Linked DNA regions of Macaca fascicularis. The protein of the gene in region 2 purifies or fractionates together with the protein of the main gene of each other region. This does not show direct contact. Links are inferred from orthologs where the notes say so. Each region holds a gene or a part of one and is shown on either strand. Other genes may lie near its edges.

The links.
Region 1: the proteins of ALK (region 2) and SHC1 purify together in Homo sapiens (affinity purification with mass spectrometry; 3 studies listed by BioGRID and IntAct, with this or other methods). This does not show direct contact. The link is inferred for Macaca fascicularis from reciprocal best matches to the Homo sapiens genes ALK and SHC1.

Annotation. Positions count from the first base shown.
Region 1 is NC_088375.1:106,181,984-106,185,334, forward strand, and holds the end of SHC1 (SHC-transforming protein 1), read left to right. Parts: intron 1-1,102; coding exon 1,103-1,231; 3' UTR 1,232-2,705; downstream 2,706-3,351. UniProt on the Homo sapiens protein: Signaling adapter that couples activated growth factor receptors to signaling pathways. Participates in a signaling cascade initiated by activated KIT and KITLG/SCF.
Region 2 is NC_088387.1:92,988,384-92,992,198, reverse strand, and holds part of ALK (ALK tyrosine kinase receptor), read right to left. Parts: intron 2,611-3,815; coding exon 2,424-2,610; intron 1,722-2,423; coding exon 1,631-1,721; intron 1,523-1,630; coding exon 1,458-1,522; intron 1-1,457. UniProt on the Homo sapiens protein: Neuronal receptor tyrosine kinase that is essentially and transiently expressed in specific regions of the central and peripheral nervous systems and plays an important role in the genesis and differentiation of the nervous system.

The DNA.
Region 1 (3,351 bases), on a different chromosome or scaffold from region 2:
AGAGCTAGAAGGCAGTCATCTCATCTGTGCCCATTTTTACAAATAAGGAAACCACCCCGAAGAGGTTGTGAGGCCCAATGTCACATGGTTAAAGGCTAGACACTGCAAGTTTCCTTTCGTAAGAAGATCCAAGGGCTTCTCCAGCTCCTCAGACTCAGGAGTCAGACCACTGTGCTTTCTCTTATCTGCACTGCCTCACTGTTCTTCAAAACTTTCCTTGTTTAGCCAGGTGTGGTGGCTCATGCCTGTAATCGCAAGATTTTGGGAAGCTGAGGTGGGAGGATTGCTTGAGGCCAGGAGTTCTAGACCAGCCTAGGCAACATAGCAAGACCTTATCTCTAGAAAAATAAAAAAAACCAAAAAATTAGTCAGGAATGGTGACACATGCCTGTAGTCCTACCTACCCAGGAGGCTGAGGCCTGATGATTGCTTGAGCCCAGGAGTTTGAGGTTACAGTGAGCCATGACTGCACCATTGCACTCTAGCCTGGGTGACAGAGACCCTGTCTAGAAACAAACAAACTTTTGTCTGTTTTCTACAGCAATCTCAGCCTCCTTTCCTCTTTTTCTTTTCTTTTTTTTTTGAGATAGGGTTTTGCTTTGTCACCCAGGCTGGGGTGTGGTGGCATACCCGGCTAATTTTTGTATTTTTGTTGTTGTTGTTGAGATGGGGTTTCGCCATGTTGCTCAAGCTGTTCTTGAACTCCTGGGCTCAAGTGATCCGCCTCCCTTAGCCTCCCAGAGTGCTGGGATTGCAGGCATGAGCCACCATGCCCAGCCTCCACATCTTTTTTTTGCACTGTGTATACTCTTCTGAGACATGCCAACTTTTTCCACATCAAGAAAAGGGTATATAGCTCTCAGCTTCACTCTTTCAGGGCTGATGTCACCTTTGCCTTTTCCCACTTCACTGACCTGTCTATTCCTGCAACTGTCTCTTTCTAGAGAAACCTCAATTATCAGGACTGATAGGCCACACTCTCCCCTACCATTTTTTTCTCCTTCTTCAAGCCTCTTGTGTGTTTTACCCTCTTCCACCTTGGAGGCTGAGGTCTTATTTGACTCTTCACCTGAATTGACCTTCTTCCTTCCCACCCTCCCAGGTTCGGACTAAGGATCACCGCTTTGAGAGTGTCAGTCACCTCATCAGCTACCATATGGACAATCACTTGCCCATCATCTCTGCGGGCAGCGAACTGTGTCTACAGCAACCTGTGGAGCGGAAACTGTGATCTGCCCCAGAGCTCTCTTCCAGAAGATGCCCTCCAGTCCTTTCCACCCTATTCCCTAACTCTTGGGACCTCATTTGGGAGTGTTCTGTGGGCTTGGCCTTGTGTCAGAGCTGGGAGTAGTGTGGACTCTGGGTTTCATATCCAGCTGAGTGAGGGTTTGAGTCAGAAGCCTGGGGGAGAATCCTGCCTCTCCCCAAACATTGATCACCAAAGTATTAATGTACAGAGTGGCCCTTCACCTGGGCCTTTCCTGTGCCAACCTGATGCCCCTTCCCCAAGAAAGTGAGTGGTTGTCATGGAAAATGTCCTGTGGTGACAGGCCCAGTGGAACAGTCACCCTTTTGGGCAAGGGGGAACAAATCACACTTCTGTGCTTCAGGGTATCCCAGACCCTTCTCAACACCCCCACCCCACCATGTTTAAAACTTTGTGCCTTTGACCATCTCTTAGGTCTGATGATATTTTATGCAGAGTTCTTGGGCCCCTGAGTTCAATGACAGGGATGCCAACACCTTCTTGGCTTCTGGGACCTGTCTTCTTGCTCAGCACTCTTTCCGGTTTGGTTTGGGATAACAGAGGCAGGAGTGGCAGCTGTCCCCTCTCCCTGGGGATATGCAACCCTTAGAGATTGCCCCAGAGCCCCCCTCCCGGCCAGGGGGGAGATGGATCCCTCCCTTGCTCAGTGCCTCCTGGCCGGGGCCCCTCACCCCAAGGGGTCTGTATATACATTTCATAAGGCCTGCCCTCTCCCATGTTGCATGCCTATTGTACTCTACAGCCAAAGTGTAGCCCTTCCTGGAGCCTCTGCCCTGCCTCCCTTTCTGGCAGGGTGGGGTAGGGGTGACTGAATTTGGGCCTCTTGTACAGTTCACTCTCCCAGGTGGATTTTGTGGAGGTGGGAAAAAGGGCATTGAGACTCTTAAAGCAGTAGACAATCCCCAAATACCATCTGTAGAGTTGGAACTGCATTCTTTTAAAGTTTTATATGCATATATTTTAGGGCTGTAGACTTACTTTCCTATTTTGTTTTCCATGGCTTATTCTCGAGCACAAAATGGTAATCAATTATTACATTTATACATCACCTTTTTGACTTTTCCAAGCCCTTTTACAGCTGTTGGCATTTTCCTCGCCCAGGCCTGTGAGGTAACTGGGATCGCACCTTTTATACCAGACCTGAGGCAGATGAAATTTATTTCCATCTAGGACTAGAAAAACTTGGGTCTCTTACCGCGAGACTGAGAGGCAGAAGTCAGCTCGAATGCCTGTCAGTTTCATGGAGGGGAAACGCAAAACCTGCAGTTCCTGAGTACCTTCTACAGGCCCGGCCCAGCCTGGGCCCCTCTTTTGGCCTTGTGGATAAGGGACAGTTGACCGTTTTCATCCTGGACTCCTTTTGCTGTTGTTTGGATGTTTCCACGGGTCTCACTTATACCAAAGGGAAAACTCTTCATTAAAGTCCGTATTTCTTCTACCTCTGCCTCTTAATCCTGGGAAGCCTATTGTGTACGCCGCGGGCCCTTAGCTGCACAGCGGGGAGGCGGGAGGTCGCGGCCGCTGAGGGAAGCTGGGGGGTCTGCGGAGTTTGGGCGCGGCAGAGTGGGGCGTGTCGCGCCACCGTCCCCATGAAGATGTTGTGTCCGGGGGGCGGGGGCTGGCTCCGGGTGAGTCCAGGCAAGAACCGGGACTCCCCGGCGCCGCAACGCCGGCCCCCGGGACTACCTAGACCTCCCAGGCGCGCCCTCGGCTCGCGCGCGCCCCTCGGCGGTGGCTCCACCGCCCGGGATGGTACGGTCCGGCAGCAGGGCCGCGCGCCGCCGCCCCTCGGTGAGCTGGTGTGGGCCGCCGCTAGCGGAAACGACCCTCTCCACTCGCGTGGTGCAGTGGTAAGCCTCGCCCCTCGCCTGCCGCCTGTTTTCTGGCGTGGGGTCTCGTCCGGTCCTTGCTCCCCCTCCCCGCCGCGCTTAGTGGTGGTGGCCGCGCCGAGTTCCGGTTCCGGTTGCTGCAGCCGCTGGCTGGCGGCGAGTCTGGAGAGAGCGCGCAGTTCGCGCCGCGGCTGGGCGCTTCCCTGTCGTCCCACTTTGTGGTTGCTGCAGCTTGGGGGCCTGTGCTGCCCCTGA
Region 2 (3,815 bases):
AATGTTAAATTGGGGGGAACAGGATACAAAGTTACATTTTCAGCAGCTACAATGTATAAATGCATTCTGTAAATAGGGGCAGCAGGGGTCCCGGGCTGAGCCTAAACCCAGAATCTCGCTGGTGAGCAGGTGGGAAGAACCAGAGCAGGCTCCACAGGAGTTCCGTTTGCAGGAGAGGGGCTGGAGGTGCGAGGATGTTGCTCAGGCACTTGGGTGAGAAAGTGTCTCGGGGGCAGGACGGTGTCTTTCTCAGATACTGGTGCACGGACTGGGCACTAGAATTCATGGTCGATTTCTCCCAGGAAGGTCTCAGGCAGAAGGTGAAGCAAAACAACTGCTTCTAAGAGAGACTGGGTGAGACTTGCCAGGTGACGGCATGTGAAACAGAGCCAGGAAAAGGGGATGGCCTCATAAGTCCATCAGTTTCCTGTGGATTCCTCATGGAGGGGACCAAGACTTGGGTTTTCTTGTTAACATGATCCCTTTAGAACACACAGGCAGTGGGGCCTAGGAATTCCACATGGGCCAACATGTGCATGCATGTGTGTGCATACACATACGTGTACACGCCCCCCCCAAGTGTTGAAAGACTGGGTGATTAGACACCAACATATAATGGTTAGTTACCACCAAGTAGTGAGATGGAGCGATTTGGGTCTTCTTCAATATAATCTCATACTTGCCAAGTTTTATTCATAATCAGGAATTACATGTATCATCAGAAAATAAATGTTATTTTGTGTGTTCTCCTGTGACTCCAGACCTCACAGCCATATCGCTCACACTGCCTGGCCTTGTTACCCCTGCCACTTCCACCAAGGGGACATCCCAATCTGCCCCCACCTGTCAGGACGTTCAGAGACTTCCTGGTGTGATGGGGGCCATGAGCCTCCACCTGATCTTGAGGTCAAACATCTGCCTCCTCCTTGAGGGGATCTGCTGCCACTGTGGATGCCCTCAGGAGCCACAGGCACTGAGACTCTCAGCTTAAATACAGACCCTGGAACCTCAAGTCAAAAGGTACAGCCAGCTGAGACTCATCCCTGCTGATGGGAGCCTAGGATGGGGTGGCCTTCCATCATATTCGGAGCACATTTACTGGGATTGGTGAAGGGTTTGGGAGGGAGATTGTATCTTGTACTGTCAAAGTCTAGCATGTTCCATTTCTTAAGAAAAAGTGAGGGAAGAAGAACCAATGGAGAACAGCAGGGAACTGGTTGCAGACCGTGACATCGGTGGGATTATTAGGCCACACAGATTTTGTTTCTGAAACAACCACCAGGGGTTGTTCCAGTCTGGTAAGAAGTGTCTAGAATGTTTGGGAGTCTCCTACTGGAGAAAAGGGGACATGCTGGGGACAACACCATTTCCCTTGGAGACGTCGATGTGTTAGAAACCTCTCCAGGTTCTTTGGGGCAGTGGGGATTTGGGGTGAGGGTGTCTCTCTGTGGCCTTACCTGATGATCAGGGCTTCCATGAGGAAATCCAGTTCGTCCTGTTCTGAGCACACCTCAGGCAGCGTCTGGGCAGAGAAGGGGAAGGTGGGGAGGAGGAGGAGGCTGTGAGCTGACAGCCGCAGCCTACAGAGTCTGCAAGCCAAGGGCAGGCTCAAGAGTGAGCCACTTCTTACCTTCACAGCCACTTGCAGGGGGCTTGGGTCGTTGGGCACTCCGGACACCTGGCCTTCATACACCTCCCCAAAGGCGCCATGGCCCAGACCCCTGTGCAAAGGAGAATACAAGATGAGACAGAGTCAAACAGGCCACAGTAATGAGGCAGCTGGGGCTCCTGAGCCCGGGGCTCACATTTAGTGGACAAACACAAGAGGCAGGGGATAACGTACACACTCAGGAGTAACACCCTCAACACGGCTGTGCTATGCAGTAAGAAGGATTCCAACCAGGGACTCATGACAATGGTCAAATGTTTATTCATTCAGTCAGTAGTTACTGAGTCTGATATTTGCCAGGGACACAGGGGTGTATGAACCATGGCTTTTCCCCGGGGAGGCTCATGCTCCTTTAGGACAGACATATCGCCGGGGGGTACTGGCTGGGGAGTATTGCCAGTGAGTGACAGAGAAAGGTACAGTTGCTCTAGATGCTCAGAGGAGGGGCCCTTTGCTCCCCTGCTCCCCTGGAGGGAAGCAGGGCCAGGAAGCCTTGGAGAGAGCATACCTCAATGAATTTTGAGGAGAGCCCTGGTTCTCCTCTCATTGTATAAACTCCATAAACATATAGGAGTTAGTGTAAACCAACACACATGGCCCTGAATGTCAAGGTTTGTCCTCCTAGGAGGGCTGGGGGTGCCCATAGGGAGGGCTCTGCTGACCTTTTGTGGCTGGAGGAGTCTGTGATGCTGTGATAACATTCAGCCCCTAGACTGCAGCCCCTCTCCTCCCAGGATGGCAGCAGGGCGCTCACCGAATGAGGGTGATGTTTTTCCGCGGCACCTCCTTCAGGTCACTGATGGAGGAGGTCTTGCCAGCAAAGCAGTAGTTGGGGTTGTAGTCGGTCATGATGGTTGAGGTGCGGAGCTTACTCAGCTTGTACTCAGGGCTCTGCAGCTCCATCTGCATGGCTTGCAGCTCCTGGTGCTTCCGGCGGTACACTGCAGATGGATGGTCAGCTGCAACATGGCCTGGACCAGGCAGCCTGGCCCTTGAAGCACTACACAGGCCACTTCCTACAGGAAGCCTCCCTGGATCTCCATATCCACCCCTGAGCTCTGAACCTTTCCATCACACTTAGAAATACTAACAAAATGATTCTAGATGTGAAGGTGTGTCTTTAATTGAAACATGATTTAAAGTAAATGTAAAGCTAAAAATCACAAACACAGAAAAGAATTATTTGTATTATACAGGGCAGAGTCATGTTAGTCTGGGTCCTCCAAGAAGCAGACTGGAGACGGGATTAGACCCAAGATGGTCTGCAGATTTTATTAGAAGAAATGCCCATGAGAGGAAATGGGGAGGGAGCCAGGGAAGGCCGGGCGAACCAGCAGACCGTGTTGCAAGTCTGACCCCATGTGAATGAGGGAGGGAGGGAAGGTTGGGTGGAAGCATCCTGGGTGCCATGCAGCCTAAGGAATTTTCAGCAAGGCCCTAAGGGGTTCTGGAGCCAAAGTCAGCCATCAGAGGAGTCCCACGGCTCCCAGGAATTGGCCTGCCTTAGTATTTCTGCTGTGCCAGCCACGGGGTAGGGCAGCTTCGCTGCAATCACAGCAGTGGGTTTGAGGGTGCAGCTGGGATCTTGGTCAATTGTGTTTCCTATAGTTGGAGAACTGCCAAGCCGCAGAGTTGGAGAAGAGCCACATAATGAAAAGATCTCTAAACTGGTGTCTGGGGATCTGAGCTCTAATTCCGCCTCTTGTTACTTACAAGCTGAGCCGTGAGGACCAGGTCACAGGACCTCTTTGGACAGTAGTTTCCCTCTCTGTAAGCAGGGATGGTAACTCCTGCCCTGTTTCCCTAACCACTCCCACTCCCCACCCCCAGGGTTGTCAATGAAATGAATTCACCAACGTAAAATGGTTTTGAAAAGTTCTAAAGAGCTCTACCAATGTGAATGACCATTATCACTCCTACGTGTGAGGATGTGCTGGAAGGCAAACTCCAGGGGAGCCAGAACAACACTGTGATTCAGAGGGTAGATTCTGTGTGTAAAGCCCAGCACCCCCAACACACGGGCCAGGGCAAACGAGTCACCCACTATGTGCTCAGTTCCCTCCTCTATGCTATGGACCGACCATGATCAGATTAGGGTTACTCGAGGATCGAATGAACTGAAATGTGTAAATTGCTGAGCATGTAG